Elephas maximus indicus: one gene and its partner. The protein of the gene in region 1 purifies or fractionates together with the protein of each later gene. This does not show direct contact. Links are inferred from orthologs where the notes say so. Each region holds a gene or a part of one and is shown on either strand. Other genes may lie near its edges.

The links.
Region 2: the proteins of ABCC1 (region 1) and VDAC3 fractionate together in Homo sapiens (co-fractionation; 3 studies listed by BioGRID). This does not show direct contact. The link is inferred for Elephas maximus indicus from reciprocal best matches to the Homo sapiens genes ABCC1 and VDAC3.

The regions. Positions count from the first base shown.
Region 1 is NC_064830.1:76,492,614-76,503,789, forward strand, and holds the start of ABCC1 (multidrug resistance-associated protein 1), read left to right. Parts: upstream 1-6,089; 5' UTR 6,090-6,104; coding exon 6,105-6,626; intron 6,627-9,562; exon of another isoform or gene 9,563-11,176.
Region 2 is NC_064840.1:57,988,969-58,000,062, forward strand, and holds the start of VDAC3 (voltage-dependent anion-selective channel protein 3), read right to left. Parts: upstream 4,455-11,094; 5' UTR 4,215-4,454; intron 1,936-4,214; 5' UTR 1,934-1,935; coding exon 1,867-1,933; intron 579-1,866; coding exon 529-578; intron 1-528. UniProt on the Homo sapiens protein: Non-selective voltage-gated ion channel that mediates the transport of anions and cations through the mitochondrion outer membrane and plasma membrane.

The DNA of each region.
Region 1 (11,176 bases):
TGTGGTATTTGTATTACAACAGCAGTGCTGTAGGGTGGGAAATGCTGGTCATGTAGTGGTTAAATGCTATGGCTGCTAACCAAAAGGTCGGCAGTTCAAATCCACCAGGCACTTCTTGGAAACTTGATGGGGTAGTTCCACCCTGTCCTATAGGGTTACTATGAGTCAGGATCAACTCGATGGCAACGGGTTTGGCTTTGGGGTTTACTATTTTTATGAGTCAGAATTGGCTTGACGGCAATGGGTTTGGTTTTTGGGTTAAAAAAAAAAGGGTCATAGTGACCCTCTTCTTTGAGTGACTACTGCTTTCTTAATGAGAAAACTATGTTCTCTAAAATTATAGGCTGTTAGGGAATTTCTAGTTTGAAATATATCAGTACAAATCAAATATCTTACTCTTGCTTGAAGACTGTAAGTCACTGTGACACAGAGAAGCCGCCTCAACTTCCAACTCAGGTACAGGGCGTTGCATGACAGAGCTTCCCTTCAAATTCTCAGGGCTGAGGTCTAGAAATGGAGGTTTTCTGTGCCAAGGTGTTCGGCAGGCTTTGTGATTTGAGGGTCAAAAATGCCAAGAGCAAGCCAGAGGGTGATTTTCAGGGGCATGTTGTGACACCAATACTCCTCAGCATGTTTTCTTCTTTTTCAAAATAGGCAACTGAGGGCTTGACACAACTATGTTGAATTTATAAGTTTTTCTCCTTCCTCTGCCTGACTCCTCCTTCGCATACCTCTGTCAATGACTTTGTTCTTTGTTTTAAACAGATGCAAATAAACTTTTGTTCAGTCCCACCACCTGTGACTTACAACCCCCACCGGAAAATCAGAGCCCAAGTGTCTGATACGTATTTCTTTAGTCTGATAGAGTCTTTTGTCACTGTCTTGTAATGAATAACTCCTCAGGCCTGGCCATCTGGGGACTACAAAGACACTTGTAATCCTTGTATGATTCTATATAAACTGTGATGTAAAATTGTTCTTGGGGACTCTATAGAGACGTCTGCCTGTGTTGCTGCTGCCCTCCCCCTACCCCCCGTGACGTTTACATCTCCTTAACAAACTTTCTCACTCTTTCTGATTAGAGTGTGTTTCATTGGTTCGACTGCTCCACGGTACGGACCCTATTCTGGTAACAATGTGCTGGAGCTTGGCTCCCCAATACGGCCCCATTCAGGTTTGTGGGCGCCTATTTCTGCACCCCCTTCCTACTGTAGAAGGAGTCCCTGGCTGGTGCAAAGAGTTAAGCATGTGGCTACTACCCAAAAGGTTGGTAGTTCAAACCCACCCAGGGGTGCCTTGGAAGAAGGCCTTCCATTTGCTGCTGAAAGGTCACAGCTTTGAAAAGGCTTTGGAACAAATGGGGTGGCCATGAGGCTGTATCAACTGGACGATCGTCAGTATCGATTCCTTGGCAACTAACAACAGGCCCCAGCAAGAACTTCAGCTTCAAACCTCCAACCTAGTAGTCCGGTGCCATTTGCACTACTCAGGGACTCCCACCAGGGCGAACAAGGAGCAAATAAATGAATGGATGATTATAAGCAGTGATAAGTACTGGGGAATAAGTGACCAGGAACAGGGAACTAGGAATATAGGAAAAAAAGAAAAAATCTTTTTGGTATTCTCGGCTATACTATTCACCCAACTCAAAGTTTACCAAGGCTGCTGACACTTGGAATTCAAATGCTGTACTTAAATCACAAACCATCTCTGCTGTTAGTTGAGTGGGTTTGGTGCAGGGCCCAGAGCCTCTTGGTCTAAGGGTGTTTTTTTACTGAACAAGCACTCCAGACGGGGAGGAACGCACTTGGAGAGAAGGTGAAGAGAGTGGTTTTGAGTCTGTGGCCAAAAGGGTAGCAGCAAAGGTGGACAGAGAGCTTCCTGGTCAGAAGCAAGGCTGAGCCTGTCTCTGCCACACCCTAGCTGTGTGATGGTGGACCAGCCACTGCATTCCTCTAACTCGAACTTTCAGCCTGTGAAAATGGTGCACTTATTTATTTGGCCAAGGAGCCCTGGTGGCACAGTGGTTAAACACTCGGCTGCTAACTGAAAAAGTCAACCGTTTGAACCCACCAGCCGCTCTGTGGGAGAAAAATCCTGGCAATCTGTTCCTGTAAAGATATCAGCCTAGGAAACCCTATGTGGCAGTTCTACTCTGTCCTATTGGGTTGCTATGAGTGGAAATCAGCTCAACAGCACCTAACAACATGTATATGTATGTATGTATATTTACGTACATATGCAGTGCTATGGATTACTTTTATATGGCCTTTCTTACCATGGTCTTCTAACTCCCGCCAAATGACTAGGTAAACCAAAAAAACCAAACCCACTGCCTTCGAGTTGATTCTGACTCATAGCAACCCTATGGGACAGAACAGAACTGCCCCATGTGGTTTCCAAGGAGTGCCTGGTGGATTCCAACTGCTGACTTTTTAGTTAGCAGCCATACCTCTTAACCTCTACGCTGCCAGGTTTTCCTGGGTGGGACCATGCAAATAGGTGTATGGAATCTTAACCGGGGGACTGGGCAGTTTTGTCACCCTGCTAAGCTTAAAATGAGTCATCCCAGAGGCAGGAAAGGGGGACCTCACTATCACAAAGAAAGATGGGAACGGAGTGTGTACTTTGGACCTGGGGTCCCTGCGCTGAGAATCTTCTAGACCCAGGAGCCAGAGAGAGAGGTCTAACACCAGAGATGGTGCAAGACGGCAAGAAGTAATCGTAGAGAAGCTGTGGCAGCAGAACTAGGAGACCGGCGCTAGACAACTTATTGGGCTTCCTGGCCCACAGAACAAGGTGGTTACAGTGGATATACTGACCCATGGAGTAAGACAGCTGAGTGACTTTGGGCAGGAGGCTTCCCAGCAGAGTGGGTTGCCCTTGGGCGGTTATTGGCAGAGCAAAAGAGCTTTCTTTGTAACACCTGCCCAAGCAGGGCAGAAGCTGGGCCAAGGGATTGAGAGGCCCAGCGGCCAACAGCCAGAGAGAGGCTTACCTGCAAGAACGGCTGAGAAGAGGCTGTCCTGATAGAAGAACTGTATCCTGAGTCATCTCTGCTCCTGAATTTGTAACCCGTTACTTCCCTAATAAATCCCATAACTTGTGAATATGGTCTGTGTGGCCACTGCAATGGATTATCAAACCCAGCAGAGAAGTAGAGCGTGCTACAGGAGGGACGCTTGGTGTCAGAATTGGTAAAGAGGCTGGAGAGTGGAGGTATGTTTGACCTCCCCCTCATAGGAATCAGCCTTGGGCTGTTGATCTTGATTCTCCTTCCCCTTTGTGAACTTCCATTCTTATAACATATCAAGGAGCCCTGATGGTACAATGGTTAAGTACTCAGCTGCTAACTGAAAGGTCAGCAGTTGGAACCCACCAGCCACTCAGTGGGAGAAAGATGTGGCAGTCTGCTCCTGTAAATATCACAGGCAGCCTTGGAAACCTTATGGGCGCAGTTCTACTCTATCCTATAGGGTCACTATGAGTTGGAATTAACTTGACAGAAATTTTTTTTTTTTTTTAGAAATTGCCAGTTTTCCAAAGCGGTTGAACCAATTTACTTTCCTAATAGCACAGTGTGAGAGTTCTGCCTGCTCCCCGTCTTTGCCAACACTTGGTAGTTTCAGTCTTTCATTTTAGCCATTTTGGTAGGCATGAAATGGTATTTCAATAGGGTTTTATTTGCATCTCCATGATGACTAACGTGTCTGGCACCTTTTCATATGTTTGCTCCATAAATATTTGTTGAAAGAATAAATGAATGAATGAAGAATTTGGATAAAAATGGGAAATAATCTGACCATGTCTCTCCCTCTGCTTAAAACTCTTCAGTGGCTCCCCATTGCTCTTAGGGCCAAGCCGAAATCCCTCCCCTGGCTGACAAGAGCCTTTGTGCTCTGATTCCTGCCACCCCTCCTGCTCCAGATGGGTCCCTTCTGTGCTTCTCTCTGGATTCCTGACACTCAGGGCATCTTCAGGTTCCTTCATGGCCCTGCTCTGTCCTGCTTCCTGGCTTTTATCTAAATTGTTTTCTTCAGCCTCGAACACAAGCCAGGTGTCATAAATCCAGATTGGTTGCTTGTATCTAGGCTCAGAAACCCTTTCCTCTGTGAAGCCTTCCCTGGCCCCCACCCTATAGCAGCCAGGGCCTCTTTTGGCTCTCTTATGTCCACTTTTCTTCCTAGCTCTTAAAAAAAAAAATTAAAAAAATTTTTTTTTTTTGCTGCTGTAAATACCTACCTCTCTGTGTGATTATTTAATTAATATCTGTTCCCCCTTACAAACAACAAAATAAAAGCAAAGAAACAGAAGACAAAGAACTCAACACTTTACGCTGAATAAGTTTTGCCTTGTTCCTAAATATTTGTTGAATATATAAATAGCAAAGCAACAGGACAATGAGCATTGTCATCTGAAAGCAATTATCCCTTAAAAACTCACACTTTGAGGGGTACCTGAGCCAAAAAAAAAAAAAAAAATCACAGGAAATGATTCTATCCTCCGCCCTCACTAGGTACTTTAAGGGCTCAAATTCAAACAGTGTTCTTGTTTTCTTTGGTGCAGCTGTTTTTTCTGTGTGTGTGTTTAACGAAACCACACATTAGGTAGGGGATTAAGAAAAGGGAGGAAAGGCCTTGCTAGTGTCACAGGGAAAGTGTGGACTTCCAGGCCTTAGCCCCAACTCCTATCACTTGCTGCCTGTGTATCTATGAGTTAAACCGTTCTTTTTTTAAGGCAATAAGGGGAAACTCTGGTGGTATAGTGGTTAGGTGCTAGGGCTGATAACCAAAAGGTCGGCAGGTTGAATCCGCCAGGTGCTTCTTCGAAACTCTATGGGGCAGTTCTACCCTGTCGGAATCGACTCAACAGCATTGGGTTTGGTTTTTTTTTAAGGCAATATGGTATGGTGGTTAGCATCATAGCCCCCTGCCCCCACCAGAATGCCTGAGTTGAAAAGTTGTCTCAGTTACTTACCATCTATATAATCCTTGACAAATTACTCTGGCTCTCTGGGCTTCCGTTTCCTCACTTGCAAAGTGGAGATAATAATAGTATCTACCTCATGGGGTTAATGTGAGGATTGTTGTTGCTAGCTGCTCTCGCGTGGCGCCTGACCCCTGAGTCACTGCGAACCCATGTGTTACAGAGTGGAGCTGCTCCACAGAGTTTTCTTGGCTGAAATTTTTTCAAGGAGATAGCTAGATCTTTCTCCCTTGGAACCTGCAGACATGCTGGGTGGGTTCGGAACCACCAACATTTCCATTAGCAGCCAACTGCAAACCACTTTAGCCATCCAGTTAATTCATGTTCACTGCTAACAACACATACTAACACACATACAAACCCATGACTACGAATGCCTGTTAATTATTGTCATCTCCAGTCTTAGTTTAACTCTAAGGTGAGCTCTTTGGGATGAAGACTAGAGCCCCTGGGCCAAGAGTGCTCAGACCGGTTGTGGGTTCAAATCCCACTTCCACTTCTTGGGCACGTCATTTCATCTCTCTGAGCCTCAGTCTCTCTATTTGTAACGGTTAGATTAATAAGGGTATCCACTTCCTACTCTGAGTCAGCTGGCTGGGTTCAAATCCCAGCTCTGCCAGTTGATCAGGTGACCCTGGGAAAGCCACTTCACTTCTCTGGGCCTTTTTCCCTCTCTTCCATGAAAGGGGCGGAAGTAGCGGGCACCTGAAACTGTGGACCTACTGAAGCCGGCTGAGAGCAAGGTGTTCCCTGAGGGCGCCGGCCTTAAGTGGACCTGAAGGAGGCCCGAGGCAGAATAGGGCTGTTGATGGACTCGGCAGCCAAGGAGTAGGAATGCACGCCGACTTTTTAAATGATTTTGAAGATCTCGTTGACGATGACGATATCCAGAGAGACACAGTTCAGCTGTGCCACTGTCCCTCCTCAGTCACACAGCGGTGCAGCGGATCTCAGCGGACCACTTACCGTGGCTGAAAGGTCTCAGGCACGGTTAACCAAGACAGATGCTGCCTGTTAATCTCTCAACGTCCTTATTTAAAAAAAAAAAAAAAGAGCAGCGTCACAAAAAAAAAAAAAGGAAGTAATATTAGCGAGGCTGTCGTGAGAACGCAGCTAAGATGTTTGGCACACTGTTTTCTCCTTGTTATCATTACTGTTGTCGTGGCTGTTGTTTTAACAGGATTCGAAAACTGGACGCAGGGTCTGGGCACAAAAACCCAGGCCGCTTTCGGAGGGTTAGCAAACCCTCGCCAGGCCTCCGTAGGGGGTGGGATCCGGCGACCCCTGAGGATGTGGGGACAGGCGCAAGGGCGGTGGCCTGGGGGCCCGGAAGCCCTGGGCGCCGGGGGCGCGGAGGTGGCGGGGGTCGAGCCCGCGTGGGCGGTCCGCTGTGCCGCGCCGAGGTGAGCCGGCCGGGGCGGGGCCGCCGCATCCCCGTGACGCGCGGGCCAACCAGGCGGCGTTGCGGCTCCAGCTCCTCCGCCGCCGCCTCGGGCCCTCCCGCCGCCGCCGCCGCTGCTACAGCTACAGCTACAGCCGGGCCATCCGCCGCCTGCTGCCCGCCGCCCGTGCCCGCCGCCCGCGCCGGCCGCATGGCGCTCCGGGGCTTCTGCAGCGCCGATGGCTCCGACCCCTTGTGGGTACGTGCTCGCGGCCGCCGGGGCCGCGTGGGGCCGCCGGAGGGAGGGAGGGAAGGAGAGAGGGAGGGAAGGAGGCCGGCGGGCTGGCAGGCTGGCGCAGCAGGGGAAGCGCTGGGCAGGGCGGGCCGGGCCCGCAGCTCCGGGGCGCCCGCTGAGGACCCGGAGCCCGCCTCCCGGCTCCGCCGCCGGCCTGGGGGTTCCGCTCCCCAGCCGCCGCCGCCCGGGCCCCTTCGTTTGTGGAACTGATGGGGAAGCTTGTGTGACTCGGTTTCAGGGAAGTCGAGTGTGGGATGGGGGAAGGCAAGAGCCCAGCCCTAGGGCTTTGGAGGTGGGGAAGGGCCCAGACCCTCGGCGAGGGGCCGGAAAGAGGGGCCCTTCATGCTTTGGGATTCCCTCCCTCAATTAAAAATAACTTCTCAGGGAAGCAGACGCCAGAGCTGGGGGACAGTAAAGAGAGGTGTCTCTGCCTGTGTTCTCCCATCTCTCTGGATCGGGGTCCCCCTTCCACAAAGAGCATCCCATTACCAAAGAGCTGAGCTGGGGAGAGGCTTGGGCTGTAGAAGGGGGGTTCCCACTGATTGGGTTGGCGTTTGCCCCCTCCTCAGGTGTTTTCATCCGCATTACTGTGCTGTGGTTACATATTTTTGTCATCTTTTCCTTTTTTTCTGCCTAAATGCTCCAGGGGCAATTTGGGGGAACAGGGGAAGATCAAGGGGAGAAGATGGCTGCTCACCCCTGCTCTGTGTCCCCCCACCCCCAGGGTCAGGCTTGGGGTGCAACTGAGGATTCCTAGGGCTCTAGTACCTGTGGGGTATGTCTACCCCACCCCTGTAATGTGGGCCTCCTCACTGGTTTTTACCCCACCAAGTTTTCTTCAGCATGGGTGATGTCGTGCTTGCTTGGGTCTCAAGAGTTCACTTCCCGTGTGGTTTAATCCCCAGTGCCTTGGGCTTTAGCAACGGTGTAATACGATTTGCCCCTTTGTTCAGGGTAGGGCACTTCTGTGTCATGCTGTCTTGACTACTGGTAGATGCAGTAAGCCAATCTGGACGTGAAGTTGTCTTAGGCTGGGTTCTCTATAGAAGCAAAACCAGTGAAGCTTATATATCTATACATATATATACATGTATGTATATGAACCTGTTGCTATTGAGTAGTTTTCAACTCATAGTAGCCCTATAAGCCCTATAGGACAGAGTATAACTGCCATGTAGGATTTCCAAGGAGCACCTGGTAGATTTGAACTGCTGACCTTTTGGTAAACAGCTGAGCTTTTAACTACTGCACCACCAAAGTGCTCTATCTCTGTGTGTATATATATGTGTGTGTGTATATATACATATATATGTATGTATAAAAACCAAAAGAATCCATTGCCATCAAGTTGATTCAGACTTATAGCAACCCTGTAGGACAGAGTAGACCTGCCCCATGTGGTTTCCAAGGAGCACCTGGTGGATTCGAACTGTTGACCTTTTGGTTAGCAGCCATAGCTCTTAACCACTATGCCACCAGAGTTGCCATGTGTATATGTGTGTATATATATGTGTATGAATATATGTATATATGTGTATATTTATCTCAAGGAAATGGCTCACATGGTAGTAGAGGCTGGCAAGTCCCGAATCAGACTGGAGGCTTCTCCTGACTCACGTAGCTGTAGGGGCTGATGAACCCAAGATTGGAAGGTCAGACAGCAGGCTGCTGTCTCACAGGCTGCAGAGACCATGGAATCCTAAGATTGGCAGGCAATACAGCGGGCCACTGGCTCAAGTCCCAGGAACCAGAAGTCAAATAACGATGAGCTGGATGCAGGATCCAGAGGGAGCAAAAGCCAGTGAGCTTTGCCAGAGCATCTTGATATATTGGATGCAGGCCCCTCCCCCAAAGAAATTCTGCTTACAGCTTATTGGCTGATCACATCAGATCACATCATGGAGGGGATTACATTATATCACAAAATGGAGGGTAACTAGATCATCGCACAATTGCCAAACCACTGAGAATCACGGCCCAGCCCAAGATGATATACAACTTTAACCATCACAATAGTTTTTCATCTTTAGTTAAGGAATTAGGAGAAAGAATCACCTTTGTCTCCTGGGAACTGGTGTTTAGCATCTGAAAATACCTTCTTGTCCTGTTTCGTAGTCTTTTCCTTGAAGGCTGTATTTTTACTGGAAGGATTTAGTTTTGAGCAGGGTATCCTTTTGGTAGAACAACCAGCAGCCCTGCCTTTTTGTTTCGCATTTTCTGGCCAGTGCAGTTGGAGATTTGCTCCAGGGCTGCGAATAGTACATGTGCTTTGCATTCAGGGTCTAGGAGTGATTGGAGAGCAGACCTTTTGCAGAGTTGGACTCTAATTGGCAGTGAGGACAAACCTGTAGATCGACCCTCCTGCTCTCCATCCCAGTTGTAATTAAGGCTTAAGGCTGGGAAAGACTGGCTTCCCAGCCAGTTAGATAAGCGCGTGACGTTGGGCAAGGCACTTCACCTCTTTGTGCCTCAGTTTTCCTCATCTGTAAAATGGGGGCAGGTAATAAATGTCACAACCTCCTAGGGTTGTTGTGAAGAGTAAAACAATGTTAAACAGAGTTAAACAATGATTATTATTCTTTCTAAAGATGAAGTTCGTGTGTTTCGAGTTGCATGTGTTTGAGCCCACTTTTCATTTGATGTTTGGGGATGGGATTGGGCTGTGGGATCTGCCTGCCAACTCATGCCTGGCTTCTCTTATGACCAAAGTCATGTGTTTAAAAATCAAGGTGACCTTGAAAACGTTAACGCTGAGTGAAATAAGTCAGCCGCGAAAGGGCAAATATTGTATGAAATTGTATGCAATATCTAGAATCAGCAAGTATGTAGAGACAAAAGTTTTACTAGGGGTGGGAGGGATAGAGGGAGAAAGGAAGACACAATGCTTAGCACTGAGCTTCTGTTAAGGATGTTAGAAAAATTCGAGGACTGTTGATGGCGATGACTAAACGCAATTAATGCCACTGAACTGTACCCGTGAAGGTTGTAGAAATGGCAGATGTTCTCTGTTACCTACATACTTATCAGTAAGAAAAAAAAATCAAGGTGACTGGCCCACCTGTGACTCTATCAGAAGCTTTGTTCCTGGGAGTGTCTGCTTCCGGGCCCAGAAAAACTTGAGCGGGGGACATGGCCAATGGTGAGAGGTCTGTGGACTTATCAAGTCCACTCAGGCAAATGCTCTGGAATGAGAAAAGGGAAAGTCTGTTATCTACATGGAAAATAGAGGCTGAGTTCACAGGTGCTTGGCTTTGTTTGGGGACTGTAGGCTGGCAGAAGGGGCTGTTTTGTGGTTGATATTTGAATGAAGGTTGGGAAAGTTGAGTCTGGGTTTCTCCATACAAGTTAGTTTTTTAAAAAAAAACATTTGTTTACTAATGCGATGCGTGCCCAGAGTGAAAAATCAGAAAATGTGAAAAAGTAGAGAAAACAAATAAGCAGTGTAGTGTGGGTTTACAAATCCTGGCTCTGTGGCTTACCAGCTGGATAGCTTAGGTAAGTTACTTTTCTTTGTGCCTCTGTTTCCCCATGTGGACAATCGGGATGATGATAATAGTCTCTGGCAAAAAGTGGTAGTAGGAAGAATAAGCAAGTGAACTCTTGGCAGGTGCTTAGAACATTGCTTCTCGGTATGGCCTAAAAACAAAGTAAAATTCAGTTGCTGTCGAGTCGATTCCAATTCATTGCAACCCGTGTGTGTGTCAGAGTAGAAATATGCTCTGTGGGGTTTTCAGTGCCTGATTTTTCAGAAGTAGACTGCCAGGCCTTTCTTCTGAGGTGCCTCTGGGTGGACTCGAACCTCCAATCTTTTGGTTAGCAACCAAGTACATTAACTATGTGCACCACCCAGGGATGCTTTGTTGTTTTTGTGTGCTGTTGAGTTGACTCCACCCTGTATGGCAGAATAGAACTGCCCCATAGGGTTTCCTAGGCTGTAAATCTTTACAAGAGTTGATTGCCACATCTGTCTCCTGTGGAGTAGCTGGTGGGTTCGAACTGCCGACCCTTTGGTTAGCAACCAAGCACTTAACCGCTGCGCCCCCAGGGATGCCTTAAAACCAAAAGCCAAACCTGTTGCTGTTGAGTCAATTCAGACCCATTGTGACCCTATAGGGCAGGGTAGAACTGCCCCCTAGAGTTTCCAGGGAGCAGCTTGTTGGATTGATTCCAACCACTGACCTTTTGGTTAGCAGACGTGCTCTTAACCACTGTGCTACCAGGGCTCCAGGGATGTCTTAGCGCTTAATAAACGTAAGTGGGCCTCACCAGCTGGAATTCCTGAGTTCGTTTTTGCTGCCACACCTGTTGCTGCTGGGGTTGAACAGAAGCAGCGGACGTGAGTCTCAGCCCCTGGAGTGAGTTGGCCCTGGCACTGATATTCACCTCAGAGATGCCCTCTAGCATTCTCCAGCATAGCCAGTAAACCCTGAATATTCCAGTCGGCTGCCAAGAGGGCCCTGCAGTTGGTAATGGAGAAGCATTTCTTAGAAGCTATTAGAAATTCCGCTTGGGAT
Region 2 (11,094 bases), on another chromosome or scaffold:
AACCTTAGGGGACAGTGAGTTTATGTTAATGGGAGAGAAACAACTCAGAAATGGAGAGTGAGAATGCTTACACAACTCGAAGAATGTAATCGATGTCATTGAATTGTACATGTACAAACTGTAGAACTGGGGTACTGCTGTGTATATTCTCAACAACAAAATAAATTATAAAAAAAAATCTTGCATGAATTCATTATAATGGAAGTAAAATTTCTAGTGTCCATATGCATATTCAGAAAAGTATAAAGATATGTCAAAGGTCAAAAAATATGTATTTTATGTTTTCCGGGAGTAAGACTCAGAATACTCTTAAAACGAACACCTAAAATCCCATCAAATTCAACCCGATCATCTATGGGTTTAAATGGCTGAGTAAGGACGCTCGCTGAAACATGAGAGTAGGACAAATCTGCAGGGAACCCAGCCTAGTGCCAAAAGTACACTGTTTCACATAACAAGCGTGATAATGGTTTTTAAATGGGTTTCTTTAATTACATTACATCTATTAAAAGAATAATAGGTACTCACCACTCCACTACAAGACTTGGTTTTTAGGTCGATTTTGACCATGCCAAACCCTAGACACACACACAAAAACACAGTAATGTACAAAATGTGACATCCAGTCCAATTTTGCAACTCAGAAATTAAGAAAACAGACTGCAATATTTTCCATATATAAAATACATAGTATTTTCATTAGCTGAGAATTCTGTAATGAACTGAATTTACAACCAAGCAATTTAAGTATAATTTTTAAGCCCTCCAAAATGAATAAACACATACTTTAAAAATATAAGTTAAAAATGAATGAAAACAATATGCATTATTCCAAGAACCAATATTTCTAGAAGATATTATGCTGATATACACACAAGTTTAAAATATAAATTAACAATACTGGTTAAGAAGAAATCAAATGTGTTCAGCATAAAAATTAAGAGTTTAAATATTAAGTTTTAAAAAACTAAAAATAAATGTGCATTTAGGATCAATGAATATATATTACTCGAAGGAAGTCAAAAGTTGTGTCTTTACTCTCATAAAAACACTGCCATTATTTGGACAGGGAAAAAGCACCCCTGTTTTAATTGTCCACAAGGCTAGCCAGAGGAGATATAGATATTATATATTTATATTATTTTATCTTATCAATAACATTTTATACGCACATACACACACACACACACACACACACATATATATATACACACTTGATTTTAATGGTTCTAAGGGCTCTAAAGGAGCCCTGGTAGCACAACACTCAGCTGCTAACCTTAGAGGCTGGCAGTCTGAACCCACCCAGCAGCTCCATGGGAGAAAGACCTGGTGATCTGCTCCCTTAAAGATTCCAAAACAAAAAACAAAATCCATTGCCATCAAATCGATTCCAACTCATAGCAACCATATATGACATAGGAGAACTGCCCCACAGGATCTACTGCCAATTGCTAGGCTGACCGCTTAACCACTGCACCACCAGGGACCCTCCTTAAAGTTTAAAACAAAAAAACCCCACTGCTGTCTAGTCAATTCCAACTCATACAACCCTACAGGTCAGAGTAGATCTGCCCCACAGGGTTTCCAAGGAGCGGCTGGTGAATTTGAACTGCTGGCCTTTTGGTTAGCAGCCAAGCTCTTTAACCACCAGGGCTCCGCCTTAAAGATTACAGCCTAAAAAACGCTATGGGCAGTGCTACTCTGTCACACAGGGCCGCTATGAGTCAAAATCAATTCAACGGCACCTAACAACAACAATAAAGGACTCTACCTTTAAAAAAATCAAGTCTAATAACCTAATAGTTATCTCCTTAAATCACTAATCCTTACACCCCAAAGATGGAAATTTACAATAGCATTACTTACCATATCCTTTGTTGAAGACATCCTTGGCAGCCTTCCCTAGGTCACAGTAAGTCGGTGTGTTACACATATCTTATAAAGAAAAATGGGACAAAGGAATAAAAATAACCACTGAGTATTTATTCACCCATAGTTTTTCAACATTTCATCCTGGGAGAAGTATACAGTTTTCTCTTCCTTTGCATCATTAATGCTTATACTCTAAGACAACTGAAGTTAAGAGAAGGCATTCTGTCCTTACAAAAGAACTTTCCAGAACACTGGAGAAGAAAAGGTTTTCTCATGAGAGTCACAGAGGTCATCTTTCTGAGTGCATCAGAGAAAAACAAGTTCTCACAGGCTGAAGGAGATGCTTTGTTAAACTGGACTTCTCACTTTTTAAAAAATATGCCAAATTCACTTAGAAAAACCTTTCTCAGGCTGTGATAAAAGCCAAAGAGCAATACAGGGCAACAAGGTAAATATTTTAAGGAACTGTAACAATAGATGCAAAGAAAATCCTTAGGGTTCACATTTTTGCTTCTCTGAAATTCAGTTCTTAAAATAAGAAACCACCATACTAACTGAAATGTATTCACCCAGAATATACCCCCTCTCAAAGCGCTTCTTAAAATGCAGCGCTGCAATCATACCTATTAACCAGAAATAGGATGGATTCTACCTACATAATCTGTTTACCAAAAATTGGTGTAAACTACAAAGCTAAAGCCTTCAAAAATCCAAGGTGCCTTGACTTTTCATCTTGCCTACTTAGTATTCAGCCAGCTTTTCTACCACCGATATGACCCTCCCAACAAATTCTCAGAAGCTATCAACATTTCAGAACATACCACTCCTTTATACTCTTTGTACGCTGGAAATTTTTTTCCTGCAACAGGTTCTGTTGTTGCAAACTCCAAAGCCATATCTAACAAATTACAGAACCACCTCAAGTAGCCACATTACCTCGATGACTATACCATGAAAAAGTTCAGAACACCAGGTAGCCTTTGCAATTCCCATGCCTACACCATCTACACATAGTCAAACCATATTCATTTATATTTAGCCTAGCTCTTAATCTGGCCTTCTGCTAAGCTTCTGCCTATACCATCATACCTGAAGAACATGACATACACTTATATTGCACCTCTCAACTGTGAATTTATTTACACCTTGTCCCATAACCTAAACCAGTGAAATGACAGACATCATGATATAAAGTTATGAGGAAGATTTTACACATATCGTATAAATGTACTGACTCACATGGTCTTAAGACTTTGCTCAGAAGCTACAAGATTTCAGAGTTCACCTCCAGAGTAACTATTTTACAATTCAACCGCTTTTGTACTCAAATGATCAATTTACATTATTTCCAAAGTGACGTTATTACTCTTTATCATCACAATTTGGGAAATATAGAAAAGCAGGCCCTACATATTCAGAAATGTTAAGGCTTTACATTCTGGCTTTTCTTCTAACTGCCAAGAAGGGAAAATGTTCAGAAGCACCCATATATAGAGAAGCTATTTACAACCTTTTAGTATTTTCCTTTATTACTTTTTTCAAAGCCACTGCCAGGTATTCTGCAAAAGCCGCATAGCAGGTTTAGTTCACCTACTGATGTCAATTCTGCCTATTTTTAGGTGACTTTTTCAGTCCCACGATTCTGATGGGAAACGCACTGCTGGTATGATCAAGCAAAAAACCAGAAGGCTTCATGTTACTCGACAGTGCGATCACATATTTCTATCCGCTCCACAAATGCACTTATTTTTTGTAGATAAGCACAATATAGCGGTGTTGCCCTCGATGCAGACCGGGGGAAAGGCGTTAACTGGGTAATACTGCTTTACACAATTCCTAACTTGACAGTCAGCCAAGAGCTCCTTTTGTTCCTCGTTTCTGTTTAAATTGCACGTGCAGCGTCCTCCCTTTGGCCTCAAGGAGCGAAGAGCTCCCGATGTTTGATAACAATTCCAGAAAGGGGGCTGGAAACGGGGGAGCGGGTTTGGGATTCCAGAATCCAACTTCCCCAAACATCAATCCTAGCCTGACGCCTAGAAAGCAAGCCCGGTCCCGACACCGCCGAAGGGAAGGTCGACGCTCCGCGCTCGCAGCAGCTCCTCTCACCGCCAGGCTCCATCACCTGAGGCGACAGGCGGAGCAAGGTCCCCGGCGGAGCGCAGCGCCCCCTCTGCCCCTGCTGCCCGGCCGGCCCGCGCCGCTCCCGCGCCCCGTTAGACTGCTCCGTCCCTCCTGAACCCTCCGTTAGGTCAGTCCCTCGCCGGGTTCCCTGCTCTGTCGCCACCCGCGGCGCCCCGGCCCCTCCGCCAGTCGCGCCGGCCGGCGGCCTCGGCTCCTCTCACCTCCAGCCAGAGGGCCCGTCTCGGCTCGGCCAGGGCAACAGCGCAGAAGGTCTTCTCCCCACCAACGCCGTCCGCGCCTGCGCGACCTCACTCCCCCGCGGCGCCTGCGCGCCCCACCTTCTGCCGCCCCGCGTTTGCGCCGTGGTGGCCGGCGGGGTTCGCTCACCGCCGATCTGGGCGGGGGAGAGGAACAGCTGGGGCGAACAAACGCGGCCAACTGTCCGGCTCCGTGTGAGCGCGTGCGCAGGAGGGCCCAGCGCGCAGGTGGCTGGGGGCGGGGGGCACACGCGGCAGACCGCACTGTGGCCCGGGCAGGGGCTCCTCTCGCGAGAACGCCCGGAGGCTGCCCTCACTGTTACCATGGGAGGGCCGCGGCGGGGGCGGGTGGGAAGACTGATGGATGCTCGGGTCTGATGCGTCAGATCCAGCCCGTTTCATTCCTGGGCGGATGCCGTTGCAGGTCTTCATGGGAATTTCATCTCAGACGGACCAGAATTCAAGAATGTGACCCTTAGGTCATCTCATCTTAAGGATGAGAAAACATAGGTTCCAAGGGCGCAAGTGATTTCTTGAAGATCACACAAATACAGATTCCAATTCAAGGTGGGGTGGGGCGACCCTTCTTTGTCGAAGATACCAAGCCAATGAATGTAGAAGAAATTATAGAAACAAAACCACCGTTTGGAGCCACCATAGTGAGACTGGTTCAGGCGAAAATTATCAATGGATGCTAACTGTTGAGAATATTCGTACTGTTTGTGAGTGTCGCCCCAGAGATTATTTACTAAATTACAGAAAGTAAGGGTTACTTTTAAAAAAAACACCATGGAAATCACCCTTAATCAATGGATCAAACTAAACATCGCCAGCGTAGGACGCCCAGAGGACACAAAGGTAGTATTCTTGCCAAACCAAACCAAAACCGAACCCACTGCTGTTGAGTGGATTCCAACTCATAGCGACCCTACAGGACAGAGTAGAACTGCCCCCAAAGAGTTTTCAAGGGTAAGTGGTGGGTAGGTGGCATATTCATGAGGAAACAATCGGACAAATCAAATTCAGGAACATTCTGCAAAACAACTGCCCCGTCTCTTAAAAAATGGAGATTTCATGAAATTGTAAGAAAAAGGATAGTGGATTGTTCTAGATTAAAAGAAACAAAAGACATGACACTAAAGGCAATGTGTGATCCTAAATTGGACTCTAGATAAAAACAATTAAAAAAAAAAAACAGCAGTAAGGGGCATTATTGGGACAATTGGGGAGCTTTGAATATAGACTGTGTATTAGTATTGTAACAATGCAAGATTTTCTGAGGATAATTGTGTTGTGGTAATGTGGAAATACTCTTGTTTTTAGGAGATACACCCTGAAGCCTTTAGGAGTAAAATAGCATGGGTCTGCAACTAACTTAAATGGTTCAAAAGAAGAGAGTGACAGCGAGCAAATGTGACAAAATGTTAACAACTGGGGAATCTAGGTGAGAGATATATACAGGTGTTTGTTGCACTATTCTTGAAACTTTTCAGTGAGTTTTAATTTTCAAAATAAAAAGTTGAGGAGAAAAACACCTACAAAGTCTGTGAGGCTCAGTCCCCAACACCAGGTTGCTGCTTTAGTCAATAGGCAGATATGATTAGTCTTTAAAGTTAATCACAGATAAAAAAGATAAACGCTCCCAAAGGACTCATTATCTAAGACTTGGACAAATAACTGCTGAATGAGGCAGAATATGATAAATGCCGTAAGCAAAGCAGTATAACCTAATAAGCTGAACAAAATGAGTACTGGAGTCAAAAGAGGCTGGGCTTGTGCCTCAACTGTGCCAAATCTGTGCTTTTGGGCAAGCAACTTAAATCTCTCTATGCTTCAGTTTCCTCATAAGAGAAACAGAACTAAGTAATATATACCTCAGAGGATTGTAATGGGTATTAAATGAAATAATGAACCTGTAGCATGTAATCTACCTGGCATATGGAAAATATTCATTAGTTAATAAAACTGTTGAAAATTAATATGCTATGAGAATTTAAAAGCTATAGAGGCAAAACCCATATTTATGCATACACAGGAGACCTGTTCACTGGAGCCACAATTCCAGCCTATGCTTTGGCTCAGCGCTAGCCTTTGTTGGATACAGCTGGCCATTAAAGGCTATAAACAGCACTTTGAGCAGGAATTTGGCAACATTCCTTTCTTCATCTTCTGTTACCCAAAAGTCTTTCTTCTGAAAAGACCTGACAACCGTCATCTCGCATCATCCAGAGAGACTTGCTCTCTTTCGCAACGCCTGAAACAGGAAGGTGGTGAAAGAAACCAGCGCTGCTGCAGGAGAGCATCCTTCCTTTGTTTCCCGTCCTTCTGGCCCTGTCGGTTTAGTGGGTTGCAGATTAAACGCTCAATGTCCATATCAAGACTTTGGCCTTAGTCACCTCAAAAACTGCACCAGAAATGGTACAGCACTGTGGAAAACATTTTGGCAGTTCCTACGAGCCAGTAATTCCACTTCGAGGTATAGTTTTTACCCAAAAGAATTGCAAACAAAAACCAAACAGATACAGTTACCCCAGTGTTCATTGCAGCACTATTTGCAATAGCAAAAAGATGGAAACCACCTACATGCCCATTAACAGATGAATGGATAAACAAAATGTGTTACATACATACACTGGGATAGTACTCAGCCATGAAGATAAATGAAGTTCTAATATGTGCTACAACATGAATGAACCTTGAAAACATCATACTGAGTGAAACATGTCAGTCACAAAAGGACAAATATTGCATGATTCTACTTACATGAAATATCCAGAATAGGTGTGTATACAGACCTAAGTTTATGAGTGGTTACCAGAGGTGGGTAGGAGGGAAAAGAGGACTCATTGCTTAGAGGACACTGAGCTTCTGTTAAGGGTGATGGAAAAATTAGGAAACAGATGATGATGCTCGCACAACTGATGATGAATAGAATGTCACTGAATTGTACATGTGAAGAATGGTGAAATGGCAAATGTTTTGTTACATGTATATTTACCACACAGAAGAAACAGGAGTAGATATACATAAAATTATAACAAGGAAAACAAATCTAAATCAGAGAACTAAAGCCAGTTCTCATTTCCCCCACCTCCACTGGATGTAAACTCTTCAGAAGTGTAGATAGGACTCTCAGTCCAAATCACAATAACATGGTATTCTTCTCCTATAAAATCTATAGAATTACAGCATTATAGAGCAGAGAAAGGACTTTAAATTTTTTCATTTGAGAGACATTTGCTAAGTGCTTGCTATGTATGCTCCAAGGTGAGGTATGAGGAAACACCTCACGACATCACTGCTGTGCGGGTCCAGAGGCCCATGGCGAACCTCATGAGCAGGTTCCCCATTCAGGTTACCCTCCTGAGTCAAGATAGCCTGCTGAACAACTGGACTAAACCAAAAGCAAAGAAGTTTCCTGAATACAACCGAATGCTTCAAAGGCCAGAGTAGCAGGGATGGGGGTTTAGGGACCATGGTTTCAGGGGACATCTAGGTCAGTTGGCATAAAGAAATGTATTAAGAAAACATTCTGCATCCCACTCTGGTGAGTCATGTCTGGGGCCTTAAACACTAGTAAGCAGCCATCTAAGATGCATCAATTGGTCTCAACCCACCTAGACAAAAGAGAATGAAGAACACCAAAGACATAAGGTAAAGATGAGCCCCAGAGACAGAAAGGGCCACATAAACCAGAGACTATATCAGCCTGAGACCAGAAGAACTAGATGGTGCCCGACTACAACGGAGGACTGCCCTGACAGGGAACACAACAGAGAATCCCAGATGGAGCAGAAAAACAATGGGATGCAGATCTCAAATTCTCATAAAAAGACCAGACTTAATGGTCTGACTGAGACTAGAGAGACCCCTGAGGTCATGGTCCCCAGACCCTTTGTTAGCTCAAGACTGGAACCATTCCCAAAGCCAACACTTCAGACAGGGATTGAACTGGACTATAAGACAGAAAGTAATACTGGTGAGGGTGAGCTTCTTGGCTCAAGTAGACCCATGAGGCTATGTGGGCAGCTCCTGTCTGCAAGCGAGATGAGAAGGCGGGGGAGGCGAGACAGGAGATGGTTGAATGGACATGGGGAATACAGGGTGGAGAGGAGAGGGGAAGAGAAGCTAGGAGTACATAGCAAGCTGTGTATGAGTTTTTTAATGAGAGGCTGACTTGTAAACTTTCACATAAAGCACAATAAAAAAAGATAGCCTGCTGATCTATGTACATTAGTTTTTTGAGAGAAAATAACAGAAAGTTAGTATAGTTTTACCCAGAAATGGTAGTGGTGGGGGGACTGAGAACAGGGACCCTTCTGTGAAGATTTGATAGTTCGACTACCGTAAGTGTAGAGATATTATAAGACTTTGAAAACAAAAGTGTTATTTAATTCTCTGTTTCGTTAAAGAAAAGGGTACTACTTGCTTGTTTTCAAGGCCAAGGACCCCAAAAACTCTGATGAGGAGTGCATCTTTGAAGAGAAGGTGGCAGCAAGCCAAGCCCCTGGGCCTTTACAAGGAGGCAGCAGAGCACAGAGACTCTGGGGGAAAGCACATTACCTAAGCCTGGGGAGGCAACTGAAGGCTTTTTAGAGGAAGTGACAGCTTGCAGTGGTTCAGGTGGGCACAAGAGAATGGCTTCCAGAGCAGAGGGACAGAATGATCAAAGACATCATACTTTTAATCCTGGAATTCCATATCTAGGAACTCACCTCAAGGAAAAAACCATAGATTTGTGCAAAGACATCTTGAACAGCTGGAATGGTTTATCCAAAAAAAAAAAAAAACCCCTTTGCCGTCGAGTCAATTCCGACTCATAGTGACTCTATAGGTCAGAGTAGAACTGGCTCTATAGGGTTTCCAAGGAGCAGCTTGTGGATTCGAACTGCTGACGTTTTAGTTAGCACCCGAGCTCTTAACCACTATCCCACCAGAGCTCCTGAATGGTTTATAGTAGCAAAAAAAAGAAAAGTTCTTTTCTTTTTTTGAAAAATAAAAAAGCAACCTAAATGGCCAATACAGAGGGTTCATTAAATAAACAGTAAAAACCAAAAACTAAACCCGTTGCCATCGAGTCAATTCCAACTCATAGCAACCCTGTAGAACTGCCCCATAGAGTTCCAAGAAGCAACTGGTGAATTTGAACTACTCACCTTTTGGTCAGTAGCCATAGCTCGTAACCACTGCACCACCAGGGCCCCAAATAACTTAAAATCCACCCATATTCTAGATTTCAGTACAGCCAGTAAAATGTGTTCTAATAATTTTTGATGTTCTGGGGATAGAGCTCTTAATGTTCTATTCTGGGAAAGAGAGAGAAAGGAAACAAAAGTATACATACAGTGTAATCCCAGTTGTGTGTGGGTGTATGTGCGTGTGTGCGTTGTAATTTCACTTCAGGAAAAAGCAAGGGAATAATAAGCATAGCATCACTGTTTACCTCTGCGGGAGCTGGACTTTTACTAAAATTTAGCAGTGACTAAAAAAAAAAAAAAATTTTTTTTTTTTTTTTTTACCACAGCTGGGTCAGAATATATGTGACTTTTCCTTCCTTCTTCAGGCTTCTCTGTATTTTCCAGAATTTCTAAAATGAAAGTGGGTTTCCTTTATAACTGAGAAGTTAAGCTCACTTTAATAGGTGGGGAAGTACCTAGATTTATAAGATGGGAAGGGCTGTTCTCTGGGGAATTTCCACCAGAAGGGAGATGCTTCCGGAATGGTGAACATAGAATTCACCTTGGACCTTCTGAGTGCTCACTCCACACTGAACCACAAGGGGGAGCAAGGAAACAAGGTAAAAGAAAAACTGTATCTGTTGGGCCACACGGGGCTTCAGAGACACAAGGACCCTATTCCTTCAAGCCCTTACTCCCCAGGAGCCTCATCCAGGTTCTTCATAAGGTTGTGAGCATGGTTATGAATTACAGTTAACTGTGTGCCTAGGGCCTCCCTACTAAGGTCAGATTCTAAGTTTAATGTCAATAATATTTGCAAGGCGTCTTCACAGGGAAACCAATTTTGTCAAAGTGATATGTGTAGTCTGACTGATCCAACCTGCAAATTATTTCATCTTAACCACTTCCTTGTGAATCACTATAATTCCATTTACATAAAGGATAATTTAGGGAAAAAAGAAAGTAACATGCTTCTACAGTGATATGCCATGGAAAAAATAGCAAGAAAATGAAAAGTAGTTCCCTTCTATTTTTTTTTTTTCCTAAGTATATAGCTGTGATAAGCAGGCTGGATATGTTCGGGAATGGACTTCAGTTAGCGAGCTGTATCATGTGGTATAAAGGAAAGTGTAAACCTTAGAGCCAGATAAATTATGTTAAAGTCCTAGGTCTGCAACTCACTAACCATGTGACCCTAGGTGAATTATTTGACCTCTTTGAGCCTCAGTTTCTTCATTTTTAAAATGGAGATTCCTCAGAAGTAGATTCCTCTTCCAATGCGGCTCTCCAGAGGAAGCCTTCATACGCAGATAGCTTTCTTTGGCCAAGGTCCTGAGGAGGCTCGGCCTGCACCCGGAGTAGGAGCCTGGTGACAGAGAAGCCAAGTCATACCCAGTGAGTCAGCTACATCACAACATCCAAAAAATGGAGCAACTAGAGGAAGACTTGCTCTGCAGGAGAAGTATAGGGACTGTGGTAACTCTAACGGGGAAGATATTTCTGGGGTTCTTTCATAGGGGACACTAAAGAAAGTAGGCCGGAACCTTCAAGGTGCCTCTCCACCCTGGCCAGGATTGTTGGTGTTAGCTGACATGAAGTCGGCCCTTGACTCATGGTGATTCCAAACCCAGCTGAACGAAATGCTTCCAGGTCCTGCACCATCCCCC